Arabidopsis thaliana: one gene and its partners. The protein of the gene in region 2 purifies or fractionates together with the protein of the main gene of each other region. This does not show direct contact. Each region holds a gene or a part of one and is shown on either strand. Other genes may lie near its edges.

Evidence for each region.
Region 1: the proteins of AT4G38780 (region 2) and ARP7 fractionate together in Arabidopsis thaliana (co-fractionation; one large-scale study listed by BioGRID). This does not show direct contact.
Region 3: the proteins of AT4G38780 (region 2) and EIF2 fractionate together in Arabidopsis thaliana (co-fractionation; one large-scale study listed by BioGRID). This does not show direct contact.
Region 4: the proteins of AT4G38780 (region 2) and AT2G42270 fractionate together in Arabidopsis thaliana (co-fractionation; one large-scale study listed by BioGRID). This does not show direct contact.

The regions. Positions count from the first base shown.
Region 1 is NC_003074.8:22,472,051-22,476,963, forward strand, and holds ARP7 (actin-related protein 7), read left to right. Parts: upstream 1-1,932; 5' UTR 1,933-2,247; coding exon 2,248-2,550; intron 2,551-2,752; coding exon 2,753-2,894; intron 2,895-3,142; coding exon 3,143-3,384; intron 3,385-3,460; coding exon 3,461-3,644; intron 3,645-3,729; coding exon 3,730-3,950; 3' UTR 3,951-4,395; downstream 4,396-4,913. Other genes in the region: PBF1 (N-terminal nucleophile aminohydrolases (Ntn hydrolases) superfamily protein), read right to left, coding at 1-58, 261-351, 451-593, 679-808, 917-998, 1,471-1,578, 1,713-1,759. UniProt on the Arabidopsis thaliana protein: Essential protein required during embryogenesis and all plant development stages, probably through a chromatin-mediated regulation of gene expression.
Region 2 is NC_003075.7:18,108,066-18,112,822, forward strand, and holds the start of AT4G38780 (pre-mRNA-processing-splicing factor-like protein), read right to left. Parts: upstream 2,976-4,757; 5' UTR 2,965-2,975; coding exon 2,768-2,964; intron 2,560-2,767; coding exon 2,436-2,559; intron 2,354-2,435; coding exon 2,261-2,353; intron 2,169-2,260; coding exon 1,778-2,168; intron 1,678-1,777; coding exon 1,185-1,677; intron 1,090-1,184; coding exon 299-1,089; intron 200-298; coding exon 1-199. Other genes in the region: AT4G38781 (uncharacterized protein), read right to left, coding at 2,976-3,128; AT4G38790 (ER lumen protein retaining receptor family protein), read left to right, coding at 3,361-3,586, 3,952-4,151, 4,229-4,369, 4,448-4,528, 4,656-4,757. UniProt on the Arabidopsis thaliana protein: Functions as a scaffold that mediates the ordered assembly of spliceosomal proteins and snRNAs. Required for the assembly of the U4/U6-U5 tri-snRNP complex.
Region 3 is NC_003071.7:16,697,536-16,702,255, forward strand, and holds EIF2 (eukaryotic translation initiation factor 2), read right to left. Parts: upstream 2,775-4,720; 5' UTR 2,395-2,774; coding exon 2,149-2,394; intron 1,965-2,148; coding exon 1,885-1,964; intron 1,737-1,884; coding exon 1,507-1,736; intron 1,280-1,506; coding exon 1,158-1,279; intron 1,076-1,157; coding exon 962-1,075; intron 887-961; coding exon 797-886; 3' UTR 506-796; downstream 1-505. Other genes in the region: HSPRO2 (ortholog of sugar beet HS1 PRO-1 2), read right to left, coding at 3,114-4,421.
Region 4 is NC_003071.7:17,602,316-17,610,354, reverse strand, and holds the start of AT2G42270 (U5 small nuclear ribonucleoprotein helicase), read right to left. Parts: upstream 6,026-8,039; coding exon 1-6,025. Other genes in the region: UVI4 (uv-b-insensitive 4), read left to right, coding at 7,072-7,461, 7,726-8,039. UniProt on the Arabidopsis thaliana protein: RNA helicase that plays an essential role in pre-mRNA splicing as component of the U5 snRNP and U4/U6-U5 tri-snRNP complexes. Involved in spliceosome assembly, activation and disassembly.

The DNA of each region.
Region 1 (4,913 bases), on a different chromosome or scaffold from region 2:
AGGTCCATGAGTTCGGTCTTGATACCGTCGGCCTTAAGTATCATAATCTCAAGCTTGTCTCCCTATTACAGTAAACAATCCACAAAGCATTAGTTAGAGAAAAAAACTTGAGGAAGATGAAGTAGTTGTGCAACGTAAGGGATATAGATTAAGTAAATGTTTTGGTAATATTTTGAAGACTTGAACCAAATGCAAATGATATGAGCACAAAGGCAAGCTTTAGGTGGCGTGGTGACAAAAGAAGACACAAATAGGACAACTTACAGTGTAGATATCCCTCTCTGTGGCAGATGCGAAAACAGTTTTAACCAAGTCAACTGCTTCAGCTTCGGAAAGGGGCGTGTTTGAATCCTACATGGTGGCAGAAGACGAACAAATAAGCAACAGAACGATTCATTTTATCTTTACAATGCGAAACGCCAAAAGCACGAATGAAGAATATCAACAAACCTGTTTAGGTAGCAAAAGAGGACTTGGAGACTTGAGCTGATTGTCAAGGAAAGGCATGATGAGTGTGGAACCAGAACCTTGAGCACCGTATCCAACTCTCTCGTATGAGCCAACAGCGTCGTAAGTAAAGACACACCCTTTTCCTGGATATATTCAAGACTAAAGATCACACAAAGTACCCTCTTCTAAAGTCACATCATAACGGAGAAAAAAAGAGGAGCATTTTACCTTCCTCGTCAAGCCCTCCTAGAACATTAAAGGCATAGTAGGGGAAAAACCGCTTGAAATAAAGCGTGTTGGAGAGAAGCTGGGCCATTGCAGGACAGCTCATCTGCTTGTTATGCTGATGTTGATAGATCTGAAGGAAACCAAACACAGAGAAAACACTCTTACACAAGTCTTTCATCATTTTCTAATACTGCGAAGGATGAAAGATAATTGATCAAACGACCAAAGTTTAACTCACCAAGTGTCTGGATTTGAGAACCTTCTGCAAAGCTTTCACATCAGCCTGGAAGCCAGAGGAAGACAAAACAGCTCTGTCCGCTCTGGAAAAGTTAAAAGAAGACAACAGCTTAACAAGAGTCTTACAAGTTACATAAGATGAAAAACACGAGAATTCTATCTATTTCCATACGAATGAATACTTGTGGTATATAAGATCAACAACACAGTAACAAACACTCTTTACGTAAGGTTGAACAAACTCAAAGAACTACACACATTGTCAATAAACGTTATAAGAAAACGAATAAGCTAAGCAATAAACCGGATTATAGAATGATCAATGTAATCACAAAGTTTATATAGAGATAATTGTAACCACTATCAAAAGCCATGTCTAATAATAATTAAGAAACCTATTTTATCTCCACCCATATATAACTGGTTTCACCCAGATCTACGAATTACGATTGCAAAAAAACCCTAATAATCTACAGCAATAATAGTTCGATTGCCAGCATGGAATCACTCTCCCAAAGAATCAACAGTGAGAGAAGAAAGAGAATGGGTACTTACAGTTTATGGATTTTGGAGTAATCGCGACTAAGAATACTGTAACCAGTAGACATCCGAGTATCGGCGGCGATAACACAGTAATCCGATCCAGCGATGGCCACACATGTTCTGAAAAACACACAACGATTAAATTCACAGTAAGTGAATCGTAACACAATCGCCCAGATAGCAAATCAGAATAAAGAAGAAAGACACTAAGCGAAGAAACCCAGCAGGTTGATTAAAGGTCACACGATCCGTACCCTCCATTGTTATCGTAAGGAGACCAGTTCGCGTGCTGTTTAGTCATGGCGGATTTGAGAGAGAAAGCTTTGAGCTAGGGCTTAGAAGAATGAAAAATGGCAGACGAAGCTTTCCGGGTTTGTGTTTTGATGTCAAAGAAACTTCCGAATCGGATCTTATTAGCTCTGGCTTTGTTAACAAGAAAAAGACGGAGACTCAAAACAATACCGTTTTGGACGTGGAAATTACGGGCTGTAATAGGCTTTATAATGGGCCTTATTTGGGCTTTGAATTCCAAAGAAATAATCTTTCTTTTCTTTTCTTCTTCTTCTTCGTCTTCGATTTTCTCTCTCAACGCAAACTCGTAAGCTGCTTCCATTTTCCCTTCTAGACCATTGATTTGTTCTTCGAAAAAACCGTTCTTTCTTTTGCCTCTCACTCTAGTTCCTTCTCTCATTTCTACTTCTCTAGCTTCACTGACTTGCTGCTACCACTAAATCTTGGCATTTGTGGAAAGTTGGGAATTTAGGGTTTTTGGGTGTGTGTGTGAAAACAATGGAAGCACTAGTTGTTGATGCTGGCTCTAAGTTCCTGAAAGCAGGAGCAGCAATTCCTGACCAGTCTCCTGCAATGATAATTCCCTCTCAAATGAAACGAATGGTTGATGATGGGTCTTCTTCAGCTGATAACCCCACCACTGTCTTTGAGGATGTCACTCTTGATCCTATTGAAAGGGGTTTGATTAGAGATTGGGATGCTATGGAAGATCTGTTGCGTTATGTTGTCTACACTGGGCTTGGATGGGAAGAGGGAAACGAAGGCAATATACTTTTTACAGATCCACTTTGTACTCCTAAGGTTCTTATCTCCAAATTTCCTCCTTTGTTCTTAATTTAAAAGATTACAACTTTGAGTCTCTTTTCAATTCCCATAATCCTGTTCTGTTGGATTATGAAAAGGAACAATTTTGTTCTTTTAGTACCTCATTTTAGATAGTAAGACGTTGTTATTTTTAATGTTTCGACCTGATTTGGCTCTGCAAATGTTTGTTTGTGGACAGGCTATTAGGGAGCAATTGGTGCAGTTGATGTTTGAAACATTCAATGTCTCTGGATTTTATGCATCTGAGCAAGCAGTGTTGTCCCTTTATGCTGTTGGACGCATCTCCGGTTGCACTGTTGATATTGGTCATGGGAAGATAGGTATTATAACTTGCTTGGCCTTTGTTACTCTTTGTGTCTTTCACTTTGTCATAAACTCATAATTCCATGTTTTATGTGAGTTATGATGTTACATGAGATGCTGATTCCCTATACTAACCTTTTTCCATGATCTTAAACGTTTTGTTAAACCAATTTTTTTTGGATTCTTCTTGTGTTTATAGCTGGATATGATCAGGATGTTGTTATGTCTGATGTTTTAACTTTGTGGTTGATCCAACTCTTTTCAGATATTGCCCCAGTTCTTGAAGGTGCAGTACAACACATTGCCTCGAAACGGTTTGAGCTAGGTGGAACCGAGCTAACTAAATTATTTGCCCAAGAGCTTGGAAAAACCAACCCGTCGATGAATCTCAGCATGTCTGATGTTGAAAAACTCAAGGAGCAGTATGCAAACTGTGCCGAGGACGAAATTGCTTACAAAAAAACCCAAAACTGTGAAATCGAGCAGCATACTCTTCCTGATGGACAGGTTTGTGTGAAATCAAGATTCTACATTTTGTGTTGTTACCTTATACATATAGATAACAAAACCAATGGCCTTATAGGTGATAAGCATCGGGCGAGAGAGATACTCGGTTGGAGAAGCTCTGTTTCAGCCATCAATACTGGGACTGGAGGAGCATGGAATCGTTGAGCAGCTTGTCCGGATTATCTCCACAGTGTCATCTGAGAACCATAGGCAGCTCTTGGAGAACACTGTACTTTGTGGTGGTACAACCTCCATGACAGGTACTAACAACACTTGATATCATAGTGTGTTTGAATATCTTTTGGGTCGGAAAACTGAAGGGTTTGTTGGAATGGTCGATGGCAGGATTCGAAAGTAGATTCCAGAAAGAAGCAAACTTGTGCTCATCTGCCATTAGGCCAACACTGGTGAAACCGCCAGAATATATGCCGGAGAATTTGGGGATGTATTCGGCTTGGGTTGGAGGAGCCATACTAGCTAAAGTGGTGTTTCCGCAGAATCAGCACGTTACTAAAGCAGATTATGACGAGACTGGACCATCAGTGGTTCACAGGAAATGTTTCTGAAACCATAGACTATAAAACGATGTTGTTGTTGTAGCTGAGGATTTTTTTTTTGGTTGGCTTTGGTTTGAAGATGTGGACCAGATTATGTAGTACATTTCAAATTATGGCTTCCAAATATCGACTAATATGTGTTCAATGAGCCCTTTTCTGAAAACATTGACAAGGTAACTTTGCCAATGCCAACACACACCCATTGTCAGTGGAACTCTAAATGGTTTTGCAGATATGTAACCAGTGAAACTCTTGGTTTTGATGCAGAGAATGGCCAAGATCCTCTTTTTCATTTTGTTTTGAGATCTTTAGTACTTGTACAATCAAATAACACAGTCCCTTTTTGTTTTGTTGGTGTTGTTTGCTGAAATTCGAGAAGGAAAGGGTCAGTGTTAATGTCTAAACAGAATTCAATTTTTTTTATTTTGTAAATTGGTTGCCTCTTTACCTTGTTACTTGTTGTTAGCTTATCTCATCCCTTCTCTCATCTATATAATCGGAAAAGTTTTTAATTAGTGAAATTTAAAATGGAAAGATAATTAGTAGATTTTCTTTGACTTTCTTGATTTTTTTTTCATAATTAAAAAAAAACTATTAATTCTTGAAATTTTGCACGCAACCCGTTAGATTCTAAATTGGTGACGTATATAAACTCAGAAGAAGTAGTAGTACCTTCTTTCACAAGACTCATTTTTTAACGTTCAAGAACAGAAACAAAATTCACTCACTTATAAGGTCTGTGACCACCAGAATAGTAACCATCTGTTGACGTCACAAGTAAAGGAAACCACCCAATCTCACTGTATTAAACGCATCTCTCGAAAATGTTCCCAAACGAATCAATGTTAACCACCTAAAGATACGGTGTTGTTGAAACAACTCTTTTGTTAGTATGTGTTAGTTTAGTACAATAAAACCTTTATAAATTAATAATGTTGGGACAAAGATATTTTATTAATTTAGAGAGATATT
Region 2 (4,757 bases):
GCCCCTCTTCTGATACGTTCACGATTGTAGTGAGCAACATTTGTCCACCAATCAGCTTTAGACTTGACATATCGGAGGATCATATTCTCAATTGCCACAGGTAATCCAGGGACCTTCCATGGTATATTAGCTTTCCAACACCGCCATGCCTCACTAAGGTGCTGCAATATCGTCCGCGCCTTATTTTGCTTAATACCCTCTGCACATTAGAAGACAGTATAAACCAACAAGGAAGAGATAAAATTAAAGGAAATCGACCTTGAGAAAAACAAATCAGTTATAGACGCAAGAAGCGAACCTGGCATTGCATCAACAACATCATGCATGACAGCAGCTCGAAGCTCCAAATCAAAATGGCTTTCAACTCTCTGTTTTGTGACTGTTTTGGCCACTCCCTTTGAGTGACGCCCCTCAAATTGACGTGCAAGCAGATTCCCTAACCATCGTTCTAGAAGAGGAACTATTCCGCGAAGGAAAAACAACCATACCCTCCACATTGGAGCCCAAAATCCACACCCTGGTCCTTTACCCACAGGACCAGTATTGAAACGGTAATAGATCAAGTGTTTCAAATCCTTGCACATCCTGATTTGTCTCATAAGCCTGTACTTATAACGATACATACCTGTCAATTGCCCAACATGGGAGAAAATATATTGCAGGCCATCAGCCAATTGAAAGGCATCAACATTACCAAGTCGGAACTGGACATTTGCATCAACTACAAGTTTTGTCAGCCGGAGGATCTCACGGCAGAGATGGAAAGCATTTCCAAAACGCGACTTCTTTCGTTCCTTGGTTGTCAGAGTTTTCACAGGCTTGAGGTTGAAGTTATAATCAAGGTGCAGGTAGTTCAAATTCTTCCTGTGAATCAACAGGTTCAGCATATTATACCCCTGCCGGCAGACTTGCAGACCCACTTCAACCCAATCCAGTTCGGTGCTCTGAAAAAACTTTGTAGCTGCAAGAGATCGAAACAAATGCTTCTTCTTCTGAGCCTTAGGGGGTCTATGGTGCAGCTCATTCAGTAGATAACATTTCAAAAGCTTCTGGTAACTAACCCGAACTTTGACAGGATATGCTGGAGGACTGCAGAAAATGAGATAACTAAGAAGTTAATACAATGTCTAGTAAATTTCAAAAGGGGAAAGAGAACCACAGTAGCATCAGAAAAATTAGCTTACCAGTGCTCCTTAAACCACTCTGCAACAAGGGGTATATCTTCAGCCCGCCGAGTCCTCCCAGACCTCATATTGAAAGGCCGAGGGGCAAACAACAATGAAATGCCAGGAGCTGTAGTGTCAGTGTAGAGTGGCGAGTTATTTAGCAAAGGTTCCAGTCCTTCTGGTAACACAAAGTCATCCCCATCATCATCATAACCATTACTTTTGCGCTGTTCTTTATTAGTGTTATTAGAGTTACTTATGGGGTGAATTAATGGATCATAATAAAAGGCAGGAAGGTCAGGATCCTCAGTCTTTATGTACATAACCATAGGAGTGTGATAGACACAGAGTTTTACTTTCCTGGGCCTATTATTGTACAGATGTGGGAAAGCTACTTTGTACTCAGTTCGCAGAGGGGATCGAATTATAAGCTTGTTGATGTCATTAAATTCATTCCAGTCTTCATCTCCTTTCTCCATATCACGATGCAAAGGCTCAAACTTAGGACCGCCTGAAAAAGAGTACCAAATTGAATCAGGGAAAGAGAACAGAAGGACAACAACTGTGAAAACGAAGATATCAGAACAGGAGAACATAGAGTATAGCGTTACCTGGTATGCACATGTTCAGTGCCTTTGCAGTAAAGAATGATGGCATGTCAAACAAGTAGAAGTAGTTGCGATCAACCAAATCAGACAACAACTGGGCTGCAAGCCTGTGAAGGGTTGACATAATTGGAAGTGAGAGATTCCACGTCTGGTAACTTGGACCATTGATCATTTTTGTTTTTACAAGTGGCTTGTGGTCGTAAAACCAAGAGTACACAGCAGAATCTTCTTCTTCATCTAGCTCCAACTGAATTGCCTCTAGAGGATCAACGTCCAACAGGTTATCAGCATAGTCTAGAGGGGGCTCCTCATCATCAAATGGTGGAAACCGCATTCTCTTGAAATGACGACGATCCCTCTTCTCCCTTCTCATCATTATCCACATAGAACCCCACTGCAAACGAAAGAATCATCACTAGAAAACATGTCTCACAAATTCACAAATGCACAGACACAAAAGAAGAGAGAGGGAGATTATTCACCCACCTGAGCCATGTAAATAGGTTCCACAACCCATCGTACTTCGTTCACAAATGTAATAGCTCCAGTGATGTGGTACAAGACCTTCACGTCCCGGACCTGGAAAATATCTGAGTTCAAAATTTTGAGCAGAGCAGGAGAACAACTAAAGCGAGATATAGATCACTAAGTGAATAATTACCTGTTCCCAGGGCATAGGCATATTCTCCAGGAGCTTGAAAACTGCGTGAGGAACGAACTTAAGTGCTCCAAGATATACACGTTTATCAAGTCGATGTTTCTTTGATGACATATCACCATGATCCCTGAATCAAAACGCAGAGTCAGTTTCAATCTAACTTAACCCAAACCTAATAATACAAAGAAATTGGACCAGATTCGTTTCCCAGTCAACTGGATTTCGAAATCGAAATTGAAAAATTAGAAACTCGCCTGATGATTTTCCTAACGTGCTCAGGTGGCATGTCCTCCTTCTGAGTTTCCACGAACCCAAACTTCCTCTTGTCGCCGTACCGTTTGGAATTTAGCTGCATCCATGTTCTCGCCTTCTTCTCAAGCTTCGCCTCTGCATCCTCGGGAGTAGGAACCGTCGGAGTATTCCGATTAGAAGGCGCCGTGTAAGAAGGATGATCAGCGGGATGTGAAGGTGTCTGCATCCTCGAACCGTCGGTACCAGGAGGAGCTAAGGACGTACCATCAATGTTCCACATAGCTTCAGATTTCAAATCCAAAGGCCCAGCAAAATCGCCGAGGAGCAAAACCCTAAAACCTCAGTGCGAGCCTTGACGAACACGAAAATCCCTAAAATCACCGTCGTCGGGTGAGGTTGGTAAGAAAGACGATTAACCGAACGAACATATATATACGAAGGCATTCATGGGCCTTTTAGAAAAACAATAGATACGATTATGGGCCTAATTTATGGATTCAGTCACGGCTCATTTAGTATTTAAGAGTAAGAGATGTGTGGAAGGGGTGATTTGGTAATTTACATTCAAGTCAACCAAAACCAGACTTTTTAATCTCTCTCGATCAGAAGTTACCTTTTTCACTTTTGCCGAGAAAATCAGAGACAGAAGAAGAAGAAAAGCGAAAAAAAGCAAAACATGAAGGCGACGACGAAGACTCCGATCCACGTGGTGTGGTCATGGGTTAGGAGACAACCTCCGAAGGTGAAGGCTTTTCTCGCCGTGGTCACTGGCATGGCGGCTTTGGTTCTTCTCAGATTCATTGTTCACGATCACGACAATCTCTTCGTTGCCGCTGAGGCTGTTCATTCCATCGGGATCTGTGTGCTCATCTACAAACTCATGAAGGAGAAGACCTGTGCCGGTACTATTCTATGTGTCTTGTCTTTATCACATCCATTTTTAGGGTTTTTCAACTCAGTCCTGCCTTATCAGCTTCTGATCGTATGTATTCCTCTGTTCTTAGCAAAATTACTTTTCAACGTCACAACTTTTTTGTTTTTCCTCATAATCGCGTCCAAATTTTCGAGCTTTGATCAGGATTTCATTGGTTTACCACTATTATCTGCTCCCGGAAGCAGCCTTTAGCCGTAATTCGTAGAATCATCATCTTTATAATCAAGGATTCAATTGGCAATTTAGGGTTTAAGATGCATTCTATGGTTCTTTTTTTAAATCGAAAGTGTTTACCTTCGATGTGTTTATATAACTTTGTGAATGATTTTGCAGGATTGTCACTGAAATCTCAGGAGCTTACGGCGATATTTTTAGCTGTTAGGCTGTATTGTAGCATTGTAATGGAATATGATATACATACCATTCTTGACTTGGCTACTTTGGGAACAACTCTCTGGGTTATATTTATGATTCGTTTCAAGTTAAGAGCTAGTTACATGGAGGACAAAGACAACTTTCCTCTCTATTATGTGGTAAGTCAATCTGGTTTTGATCCTCGAGTTGTTTGTTATCATTTACAGTGACAATGATCTGATTTCAATTTTTGCAGCTTGCGCCCTGTGTTGCATTAGCTGTGTTCATCCATCCATCGACCTCTCATAACATAATAAACAGAATTTCATGGGCTTTATGTGTATACCTTGAAGCTGTTTCAGTACTACCTCAGCTACGAGTGATGCAGAACACAAAGGTCACTACTTTATTTCACAATGTCAAGTAGAGAACTACATTTGTTTTACTCTCTAATCCGCGTCTATTTGGTTTTCAGATTGTTGAACCGTTCACGGCTCATTATGTTTTTGCACTTGGAGTAGCAAGGTTCCTCAGCTGTGCCCACTGGGTTTTACAGGTTAGTTTTGATCTTCAAGAGTGGATAGAGGTTATACCAATAGTGGTGATTCCTATACTCGATTGGATTAGTACCTTAAAAGTCGATTTTGAATAGCTGAATACATTGTCTAATGTGCTGAAAATAGGTTGTGGACACGCGGGGACGGTTGCTTGTAGCATTGGGTTATGGATTGTGGCCATCAATGGTTCTGATCTCAGAAATTGTTCAAACTTTCATCTTGGCAGAT
Region 3 (4,720 bases), on a different chromosome or scaffold from region 2:
GTATACATTTGCTATCAAAATCCATTCCACAAAAACTCCCCTCATGTTTTTACAACACAAACTAAAATAATCAAGTTTTTAACCACAAAAACTTCAAATACTCGTTCGGATTCAGCGAAATCAGTTTAATGTATTCCGATACATAAACCGTAGCTCTAATTTAGCTTATCAGAAAGACAAAAAAACGGGTAAAAAAATTGATTGTGTTAGTTGTGTAGTGAAAGCAGGAAATGAAAAAATTGCTGAATGATTTCAATCGCAAATGTTGTGTAATATTTAGATATTAACTTCCAATAGTGTCTATTATATGCCAAAGTTAGCATTATTATATGCAACCGCAAATCGCAAATTGTTTACAATTTAGAAGTTAGTTTCCAATAGTGTCTATTAAGCCTGTTTTGTAAGATCCTACATAGGCCAATCGCAATACGGCAAAAGAGAAAGCAGTAATTCTAGGCTTCTATACTCTTTCAATGTAACATAGCTAATAGAGAGAGACCATGATCCAAAATTCTGAGCATAAATATCTCCAGTGATAAAGATTAGGCGCAACAAGTGGCAAATAAAAAAAGAACAAAGCTCATTTATATGTATATTGTTTAAAATTAGGCACACCAACTAAAAATCCCTTTTAAAGACCTTAATTCACGAAACAGAGCATTTTGTCTTTCTTAAACTTGCAATTTAGGAACACTACAACAAGAAGCTGATTCTTACATAAACTTGTTAAAAGAAAATTCGAAACCAAAAAAGCAGCATTCCCCATTTTTAGCAAAACCTTGTGTTTCCAAGCTTATTATAGCATTTGAGCAGCTGTGTTTAGCTTCTCCGCTAGACTCAACTGTGTCCTTGTTATGCTTGATAGGTACAACAGAAGCAATTGGTCCTGAAATAACAGAAGAAACAACCATTAGTTTTTTACAAAGTGTTTTGCTTTGGCTTGAAATTTACAATCTTTTACCTGGAGACTATCATTCACGAGGTTATCGAAGACTTGTGGAGGTAACTTGGGAAGGGAGGCTACTGCATCTGCAATGAATCGTCCAATGTTGTTGTCTGGAGCTATTTGACCTCCCTGGGAAATTTCATTAAAACTCTGTATCAAAGATCATGTATCTATGGTCGATAATAGACAGTCAAGGATATCATAAGCTTACCACGACACTGTCAACATATTTGTAGACATCGTTGATTAGAGTTAACAGCCTCTCCATTGTTAACTCCATTCCTTCCAAGTCATTTGGGAGTTTGTCAACAGATGTTGCCTTAAGTACATCGACTGTGGATCAAAATGATGTTTTTAAATCAGTCACAATCATTAATCTACTGAACAGACACAACCAAAGATCATCTATTCCCGTTGGTTCATTCACAATCATTAGGGAAACAATCTCTAGATACTGAATCAACCATGCAGAAACTGAACTACTTAGACAATTGAGGAATGAGGACTGTTATGTATTTTGAATATAGAATTGGTTACTAATAAAAGGATAGAATACTCACATCCGACTCTCTCAGCATCAACCATGCGGAGATCAACAGGAATCTCTTGAAAATGTGCAACGAGTTGTCGATCACCGAGTGAGAGGTTTGAAGAGACAAAAGCTTTGATAGTACCCTCACCATTAGTAAACCCAGTATCCACAGTTAGGTGAATTGGGTTGGGTACTTCTCTAGCATAGAAATCATGAATCAGCGAACTACCGCCATTAACCCCAGCACCAGTTGAATACCTGCAAATCAATAAACTTGTTCAATCAACTATTCCAAAATGAGAAACTACCTAATGCAGTGTTCCAACACAGCTACAAGAATCATGTGACAAAGATATGAGACTAATCATGAGAGTATAAGAGAATAAGAGTGGGAAACGAGAAGTACCAGCCGACAATAGTTTCCTTTGAATTCACCTTAAGGTGTGAAGCTAACATATTGTGGTGGTAATCAATATCCACAGCAACCTGCATCCATATCAAACCATAACCCTCAAAACTTATCACAAGTCACAACCTTGGGGTATGAAGCTAACACTACTCCTATAAACATTCACATCCTAACAAGCAAATCTTCAGCTACGAAAGATCTAGGATCTCCAACGATAGAGAATCGAGAGAGAGGAGAAATTTAGAGATCAAAATTTCGAACCTGATCGGATGATTCATTGTGAGGGACGGCGTATGAATTGCGGATATCGACGGTTCCGTCAGGTAAGATAGATCCGAGGAGAGTTCCGATGACTCGTTCAGCTGAGTCAGGACGTCTCACGAAGCAATCACAGACGTTAAAGATAACGAGAGGGTGGATCCTCGCCGTGAGTACAGAGGTTGTAGCGGACGCCGTTGATGACGGAGACACAAATTGCAAGATGGTGTGCTCGCTCGTCGCCGCCATGGTTAAGATTCTGAGAAGGGGTAAAAGGCGCGAGAGAGTGGAGATTTAGGGTTTCCGATGTGAGCGTCAGAGGAAGGTAGGAGAAGGCATCAATGATACAGAAGATAGGTTATGTGCCAGTGGGCCTACAAACAGGCCCATTAAATGTTTTTCTTGGACTAATGAATGAATACTCATTCAAACACTTCCCTTCTTTCTCTTAATGAAATTTGTTGAACACAAAAAACAGAGAAAGGCAATGTCGTTTTATACATCGGTTTGGTTACTCATCGTCGGTTTGGGTTTTTTATAACGTTTTTGTGTGTGTGTTTATCATTGAATTTTGAATATTATACACTGTGAAAGTGAAATTGTGTTTTTCTCATAATTTAACATCTACAAAGGATAGGTGTGAAATTGTGTTTTTCTCATACACTAACATCTACGAAGGATAGGTGGTGATTTGTTGACGATTAGTCAGAGCATATAGATTAGTCGTTACTCGTTAGTAGACCACCCATATTTGAATTACGACTTGTGGATAATTCAAAGTATGGATTACGATATTCGTAAATGTTATCGTTTGTTAAAAAATCTCATAAATCATATAAAAATGAATTTGTATTCAAATATGGATCGTCAAATGTTCCAAAAATTTCACTATCTTACAAACTAAATTAAACCAAACCACCAATTTAAATTTATATTAAATAATTATACCAGCAGAAATTAAAATTTAATCATCCCAAATGACTCCAAAACTCTCCCAGAAACGTCTTTGCCGCGTCAAGGCTCGGGAAATACGTCGGCTCCATAAATATCTGACTCAGTGAGTCACACGACTCTTGACTCGCCGTCGCGTTCATCTCCGCACTTCCCATCATAGCCGCCACTAACTGCCTATACCCAAAGAAGAAACTCTTCGCCGCCGCTTCCACCGCTTGCATCCCCTGAAGCAAATGAATCTTATCGCACTCTGTCTTCCTCGCGTAAAGCTTCATCGCCGCCTCTTGTAATCTTGGTCCTCCGGTTGGATCTACCTCAACCGCCAAGACCGCCGGTACTTTCTGTCTCAGATCTTTCGACATCTTCATCATCTCCACTAATCCTTTAGATCTGAAACAAAACGCATCGTTTTTACCCGTCGATTTGATCTGTAACTGTTTCTTCAATTTCAAAAAATCTTCCGGATCCATCAACATATGAAGATCTTCAATCTCCGCTAAAATTTTCCAGATCTTCTCCAGCAAGTAAACATCGTTTGAAGCTTTTCCGAATTTCTCTTCTTCGATACTTGAGACGATTCGATTCAGAAGATTTCCAGATGCGTAGATCCACGATTCGAGGATCTGGTGAATGATATAGAGAGTTTGATTCTCGTGATTATCGATATGATCTGCGTATGGATTATCCTTGAGGCTATAGATCTCGTTTGGTCGGCAAATCGCATCGTACCGGAGATTTGGTTTTCCGGCGATGTTTTGTTCACCGAGTCCGAGCGTGTACTTACACCGACTCATCTCGTTATCGATCGTATATAAGATCTTCTTCCCCAAAGCCTCTGATCTCCTCCACGTAGCTAGCTGCGGTAACAAACTCAACGAACTCCGTCCACCGCCGACCGGAGCCTCCGCTGATATACCTTCTTCTTCTTCATCTTCGCAGATCGCTGCTACAAGCTGGATCTGCTTCGTGATGAGAGAATCTAGCCTCCGGTTCCATTCACGGTGGTTGATGTACGGTCTAGTATCAGAACAAACGGCGAAAACTAATCTGAAACTGATCTCCAAAGCTTGAAGAGCTGGTTTGAGAATCGGCTCTGATGTCCATTGAGGAAAATCACGAGATGACCAGAGCTTTCTTAGCTCAGGGAGACGAAGGTAAAGCTCGTAAGCAGAGCAAAGAGCAGGTGCTGAACATGAGATCGGAGATGAAACAGGGACGATTTTGAACGGTGATGGAATAGTTACGTGAAGCTTTGAAGAAAGCTTAGGTGAGTTTGGTAAATCTGATGATACCATCTTCCTCTTCCAATCCATATCAACCATTTTTATTTTTTTAAGGTCTGTGTTTTTTTTGGTGTGTGTGTTTGTGTTTGTGTGTTAAATTTTGAATTTGAGGATGAGTTTAGGATACGAGGAGAGTATATATAGAGAGAAATGTGGATAGAGGATGGGGACGAGAAAAAAGGCGTGTGGAATAATACCGACGCGACTGATTTGAAAGTCAGCGTAGAAACGCGGTCTCCTTTTTAAAAAAAAAAAAAACCAGTACTGTGGATTAATTTCAGGATAATCTTTTTTTCGTTTTTTGGCTTTATATTGCTTTTTGAACTGTTTTCTATGAA
Region 4 (8,039 bases), on a different chromosome or scaffold from region 2:
TATTCCCCGGATTCTCATGGCACCTTTTGGCTAAGTCCTTTGTGAAGTGAGGAAGCTGCAGAAGCATGGAGTCTCGATCCCACATGCCTTGAGTCACCATCTGGCTTACTTCCATAGCTAAAAGAGCAAGATTCAGACAGCCATTGCTCGATATCACATCGACCATTGCTTGAAGAAGCCTTGTTGCTGATAAAAGGACCTCACACTGATCCATTACAAGGTTCCCGCTGATTTTTTGCCTTGAGAAATGCGCCTGAAGAAGTGCGCTTGTCTTCACACGAGGGTCTGTGCATCTTGGGTTTTGAAAAGAGAACCTCTGGTGATTGATGAGTCTCCGAACTGCGTCCTCTTCACCAGGACGTATAGGAATCAAGTCATACTCCGAAGCTGAAGTCAAGATCTCAAGAAGACCCTTCATCTTGGTCTTGGAAGCCAAGAGAGAACTGAATCGCTCAATGGTGGTGTAATTTATGTAGTAATATGACGCAATCATACCAAGATTGAGAGGAGAGAGATCCAACTCATTGTCTATTTCAATGCATTTACTCACTTCAAGATCAGACAAAGTGTTTTCAACGAGCTCTGAGAGGTGATCAGATAAATGTCTGTGGCTCACTCCCAGGAGATTGTAGTAGTTAGGGTTCTGGGGAAGCCTCCTGTACATGAAGCTCCAGGTAAGATAATCCACAGCATCTTGTTTGTTCTCTATAACTCTAGCAACTACTTCTGCATTGAAATTATCATGCAAGAAATGTTGAAGATGACTCTCAACCGGAAGAGCTTCATACAAAAATTTCTTGTAATACTCTTTACGTGGTGCATGACAGAAGATCACACACTTCCCAGCGTCGTCAAGCAGAGGTCGGCTACCACGCCCCATCATTTGGAGCAGATTAGAGATGGGGTAATCCGAATGAGAATTTTCCCGTCCATCGTAGAAATGTGTTCCCATTACAACAACCAAATGTGCCTTCAATGGAGTACCCCAACACAATGAACTAGACATTACACATACCTGAATCCGTCCAGCTTCAAAAAGCTGAGTCACAATCTCCTGATCCAGATTGCTTAAACCCTCGTGCAGGTAGCCAATGCCATGGCGTAAAGTCTCCTTCAGAGTTTCCTCACAAATTTGTATTAAAAAAGGCTCTAATTCTTCCAGATTCCCTAAAAGGAAATCAGGGCTCTTCATGTTGTCCATGTGCGAGTATGCTATCAGATCCACAGCAGTAAGGCGGACATGTTTACGGGTCGGGACAAAAACGATAGCTGGTTTCTTGTTCTTGGCATGCTGTACTATGGCAGTGTATGTTGGCTTAGTCATCGCCTGCATCCTGGCTTCAAAACTCAATATGTCCACCCCATGAATGTGGATCTCCAGTGGGACAGGACGAACATTAGGCGGGAAGTTAAAAACGCCACATGAACTGGCCCCAATCCACTCTCCAAGATCTTTGGCATTTGCAAGGGAAGTTGATAATGCAACAATCCTGATTTTATTCCCAACCTGACTTGAAATATATCTCATTCTAGAGACAATTACCTCCAACACTTGACCACCTTGACCCCCAATTAAATGAAGCTCGTCAACGATAAACAAACTAACCTGCTGGATATATTTTCTCTGTTTCCACCTCCGGGACAGAGCGTCCCATTTCTCAGGAGTACTTATGATTATCTGACCTTTCTCAAGCAACTTAAGATCCAATAATGTCTCCCCAGTTAACTCAACAACCCGTAAACCAAGCCCCTTTCCGAACTTTTTCTCCCAATCACGAAACTGCTCCTTGGCAATAGCCTCAAGAGGTGCTATATAGACAACACGCATTGCAGAATCAGGTCCTTCGAGATGATTCCTTAATATAGCAAACTCCGCACATATAGTCTTCCCACTTCCTGTTGGAGCAGCAACCACTACATTGTCACTTGTGTTATACAAAACAGTAAAGACCTGAGTCTGCACTGGATTGAAATGCTTGAAATCCTGATAAAGAGTTTCATAAGAAGGATTTCTTAGGGCCATCACCGGGAGGGGCTGCAAATCCAGTAGCTCTGTAGGTGGTGGGTATTTTTCTGGAAGAATAAGATGCCTGAAAGATACAGGTAACACAGTCGGCGAGTCAAGCCATTTGTCTGAAACCACTCGGATGAAATACTGTGGGGGAATTGGCTCAGAGATTGGTACAGTGAAGTTCAAAGTGTGGTCCTCATCAATAACCCGTTTTTTAAAAAGAAAGTACTCATGATGAAGGATCTTTTCACCATCATTGTCTTCCACAATTATCCAAAACGGTTCAACATATTTATTTGCTTTGTCATCCCAGTGGAAATCAGGTGTCACCGTGAGCTCAACCTGCAGAACAGAACGAGAAATCGGCTGAACATGTGCTGCAAGTTTCAGTTTTGGGAACTGATGGATATACTTGTGAAGTGGTCTGCCCATCTTAGGATTACAAATAAGCTCTCCTAGCTCCTGTGAAGATAGATCATAGTACCTCTCCCACACCAGATCGTTTTTCTCCAACTTCATCAGAATCTCCTTGGGAATTCCAGGAAACTGCCAGAGGGGTGTCTGAACACTCCACATCCTCTTCCCTACCATTTTAGACAAGTTGAGAGCTTTCTGAGACAGTTGAGCCCACCCCCTCTTCAACACAATCTCAAAAATAGCTCGTAACAAACGTCCAGCACTTTGGGTAATATAAACCATGTCAGATGTCAAAGAAAGACCCTCGAGCTTTAGCTTTGAAATATATACTTGCAGCAAAACGTTGATCTTTGCACTGGGATCTTCTAGTGTTTCCTTTACCGGAATTGGTACACGATCCAAAAGCTTTGCCAGTTCCATCTTCTCATCTTGTCGAACAGTGACATACTTGAACTCCTCACTCAGAGAGAACAGACGACAAAGCTCTATATCATTCATTGTTGGCTTCAGATTCTCATTGTATGCAGCTATTGTTCCATGGCTTATGTAGTAGTAGCTAGCAATGCGTCCCAAATCAGTAACCTGGAAGTGTCCACTTTTCCTGTCGTACTTAATCAGGTTGTTCTTGTCCAAGATAGTGGCAGCAGAATGTATCAGATCAGCTCTTCTCTCCTCCAATAGCAAGTCTTTTGCAAGGGCATCAGGCGATACGCCATACAGTGTCGGATTACGAACCATGCGGACATATAAATATGTATAGCCAAGCCAGTGGCAAGCTTCTCTAGCATTCTGAATGGTTCCAAGCACAATTTCAGCATTGAGCTGATCAGCAAGTTTGGAAATAAACTGGCTTTCAATAGGTAGTTGCTCATTCATCAAACGAAGATAATACTGTAGCTTGCTGTATCCAGTGATTATTATTCCCTCCCCTTGTTGGTCATATTGAGGTCTTCCGGCACGACCAATCATCTGCATAACATCTAAAGGACTCAGCTCCATCCACTCCCCTCTCTCAGGATTATATACTTGGGTTCCTTTGATAATGACAGTATGTGCAGGCAAATTCACACCCCAGGCAAGAGTTGCCGTGGAAATCAACACTTGCAAATTCCCCCAGCGAAATTGATTCTCAACTATCTCACGATCAGTCCTTGTCAACCCAGCATGATGAATTGCAAAACCATAAGGCAGAAGCTCTTTCAGGTCATTATTCTTGAGAAGTCCAGCTAAACACTTAAGAATTTCACGACTTTGACTATCTTCCTTCAAGAATCTGCTGAGGGTATCATTTGCCATAGCTGTGTCCCGTATTGCCCTTGCAGTTTTTGCTGTTTCCTTCCTCGAATGAACAAAAATAAGGACCTGGTGTTTTCCAGCAACAGCCACTACTTTCTGATAACATATATCATTCATCAACTGGAACCTCCGTAACGGCTTTTTCACATTAATTCCTATATACTGCTGACCGAGAGGCACAGGTCTGTAGCTACGGTCAAATATAAACAACCCATTTTTAAGATCCACTCGCAAAAATGAAGCCACATCGTCACAATTTGGCAGTGTTGCAGATAAACCTACCAGACGAATATGCTCCTTTGTGCTTTCAATCTGCCTAAGAGTCCTAGCGACAATACTTTCAAGCACAGGCCCTCGATTATCATCAAGAAGATGAATTTCGTCGATTATAAGAAGCCTCACAAGCTGTGTATAAGTGCGATCTCCAGATTTCCTGGTGATGATATCCCACTTCTCTGGCGTTGTAACAATTATCTGAGTCTCTTTGATTTCTTGCCCAGTAAGGGACTGATCCCCACTGAGTTCCTTCACAGTAACTCCAAAATCCTTCAAACGTTGAGATAGACTATCCACGACCTCAGCAACAAGGGCTTTCATTGGTGCAACATAGACAATTTTGTAATTACCATGATTAAACGTTCCACCAGGGTTCATATTCAATCCAAGCTGGTGCAGTATGGTGAGCACGGCAACATTGGTCTTCCCAGCACCAGTTGGAGCACAAAGAAGAATGTTGTCAGCCTTAAAAAGAGCAGTGCCGTACACTTTGCTCTGAACCCTATTCAACTGCTGCATTCCCCTAAAAGCTGGTTGGGCCCACTCTGGCAAATCGCTAATTTTCACAAGCTTTTCATTACTATCAAACTTTTTAGAAACCCACGGCACATGAACCTCATCAAATTCCTTGCCACGTATTCTGAAAGAGCGATCAGGAAGCTCACACTTGTTATTCTCCCTCGTGAAACCACCTTGGTTAAAAGCAAGGCTCTCCAGGTCCATCACCTGACGCTGGCCCTTCAACCAACCATTCTCCAAATCTAAATCATCAACATCTCTCATGCCTCTGTCTCCGTCAACACCAGAATCATCATCCATAAGATGTTGAGCTTCTTCTTTGATATCTTTCTCCCGTTTCTCCTCCCTTTCTTTGGCTGTTGCTCTTTTGGCATGCAACTCCTTAACAATTGCTGCCAACTCTGAACCTAACCCCAACATCTCCTCCTCAATTTGATTCCTCTCTTCCTGGTCTCTTCCCCTAGCCAAACGGGTGCACCACACAACTTTAAGACGGTTTTGCAACAGAAATTTAACAAGGCTGAACTTTTCAAACTGAAGGTGCTCAAGCAGCTTGATCTCAACATCCCTATCATTACCCTCAGCAAGTATCTTAAGCAGCTCTTCTGCGAGTTCCTGGCACTCTTGTGCATCAATCTTCTGCTCATATTCTTGAGATATCTTTCTCTGAAGCCAATAAGCATCAATATCCAGAACATTAAGACTCGTATCCTCCTTTGCCTGTCTTGCATCCTCGCCGTTTATTGCCACACCCACCTGGACAACTCCAGTTTTGTTAAGCTCAACAACATCTTCATCCTCCTCATCTTTTTCATCCTGGACCATATCAAGATCACTCTCATCATCATCCTCTTCACATTCAAGGGCAACACCAATATCATAATCAAGTCCTCCATCCTCACTAGCTTTACCACTTAAAGAATCACCACCCTCTTCATAGTCTGTAATCAGTTTTCCAATCGAAACAAACTGACTGAAAACCTGATCAGTAATAACGTTTAGTAGTTTCTCAATCTCTACCTTCTTTTCATGGTTTTTGACGGATTCATTCTTAAGAACTGCCAAAATCTCATCAGCCGCACCGCAAACAATGTCCAAAGGCTGCCCACCCAATTGCTGCTGGATAAGACCAAGCATAATCTCAAAAGCAACCCTTGTTTCCTTAGTCTTCGGCTGATAAACACCATCCTCCGTATCATTAAGTACACTCACCTCCCTAAGACGAACTCTTTTGCTCTCACGAGCAGACACCAAATCATCACAACGTTCCTTCTTCTTCTTAGATTTATTAAGCCGCTCATCTAACTCATGAGGCCTTCCCCTAACGACACGATCTCCAAAGGATTTCGGATCAATCCTACCCCTGAGACTCTCCGGTTCACCAGAAGATTCATGCGTATCACGACGACGCTCATCACTGTTAAGAACAAGACTGGAATTGACTTTGTACCCATACTGCTTCAACCTGGCTTGCTCCTCCGCACCACCACCACCCAAATTCGTCATCACCAAATCGGAAAAACAAACCCCAAATTCCAAGAATTAAATCAATGAAACAAAACAAAATTCGGAACGAAAAACTCTTCTATTACCTCTCTCCCGTTCTCCGTAATCGTCGTCTTAAGAATTTGATCGAGTCGATGAGTTTTTTTTTTTTTTCGTTCAACAGTCTTATATATACACCCTAAACAAGTCTTAAACCGACAATACATTGTCGGCCACAAATTCCAAACCCACGAAGGCCTGTCCGGAAGCCGACTAAAATTATGGAATTGTCCGGTTCAATCCGTTTTAACTATAATTAGAAGAAAACATTAATTAGAGTTGGTTCTTGATGAGTGTTTTCGTATAATCAGAGCAAGTTATCGTATCATTAGACCGTACCAACTAGCCAATCCGGTTTTCTGGTATTAGTAAAAAGCAGCGGTTGGATCCTATGACAATTAACGGTGAGGATTCGATCTTGAAAGCAATGCGTACGTAAATAGAATTGGGCCACAAGCCCAGTTTTATTCAGAAGGGCAAAATTGAAATCTGACAAAGAATTTGACGAATTGTGACAATGTGCGCTTTGAAAAAAAACGAAATTTATCCCGCGTGAGATGAAAAATTCAAAATATTTCACACAGGTGAAACCACTTTGACACGTGCGAGCTCGAAATTTTTCATTTTCAATTACAAAACCCGCCTAGAAAATGGTCTAAATTTTGTTTGCCAGATCGTCTCTCTCTCAAAAGCTTTTCTCTCTTTTTCTCCTTTGTCCCCTCCACTTTACCGTTCACGAAGCCATTCCGAGCTATCACGAAGGAATCTATTGAAGATTCATAGGTAAATCCATGGTTTGATTTGTTCAAGTAGGTTCTTTGTGATGTGACGGAGATTTGTTGCGAAAACGAAGAGTTGATCTCTTTTTCTTGTTGTTTATGAGGTTTCGAGAAAATCTGATTAACAATGGAGAACAAGACTGAGTTCTTGGGTTTTAATGTTGCGATTTCGATTTTGGGTGTGTTCTAATGGCATAGTTGTTTGATTTCTTCAGCGCTCAATCACAAATGCCAGAAGCACGAGATCGAATAGAGAGGCAAGTTGATTACCCAGCCGCATTTCTCAATAGACGCTCGCATGGTATTTTACTTGACGAACCAGCAACACAGCACAATTTGTTTGGGTCTCCGGTTCAGAGAGTGCCATCGGAAGCTACAGGAGGACTTGGGTCAATTGGTCAAGGATCTATGACGGGAAGAGGTGGGCTTGTGAGGGGTAATTTCGGTATTCGGCGGACTGGTGGTGGTAGAAGAGGTCAAATTCAATTTAGATCGCCACAGGGACGAGAGAACATGAGCTTGGGTGTTACAAGGCGTGGAAGGGCTCGTGCTTCAAATTCTGTCTTACCTTCTTGGTATCCAAGAACGCCCCTCCGTGATATTTCTGCCGTTGTTAGGGTTAGTTCACTAAACCTAGTCTCATTTTGGATTTGTCTGCTTATTCTTAGATTTAACTGGAGTTTTTTTCATTGATATATAGCTAATTTGTGATCTGTTTATATCTGGTTTGTGATTTGCATATTGGTTCAGAATCTGCTGCTTATAAGCTAGATTAGTCTTCTGTAACAGGCTTGCTTAGCCTCTTTGTTAACTATATCATAAGTCATAACCTGTTACCAAAAGGCTTGCTTAGTCTGGCTATTTACAAACTCTTATATGCAGGCTATTGAGAGAAGGAGAGCTCGTATGGGAGAAGGTGTTGGCCGAGATATTGAGACCCCAACTCCACAACAACTTGGGGTTCTTGATTCTCTAGTACCGTTGTCAGGTGCTCATCTCGAGCACGACTATTCTATGGTTACTCCCGGTCCATCTATTGGATTCAAGCGTCCTTGGCCACCCTCAACTGCTAAAGTCCATCAGATTTTGCTCGACATCACAAGAGAAAACACAGGGGAAGAAGATGCCCTCACTCCAGAGAAGAAGCTCCTCAACTCTATTGATAAAGTGGAGAAGGTTGTGATGGAAGAGATTCA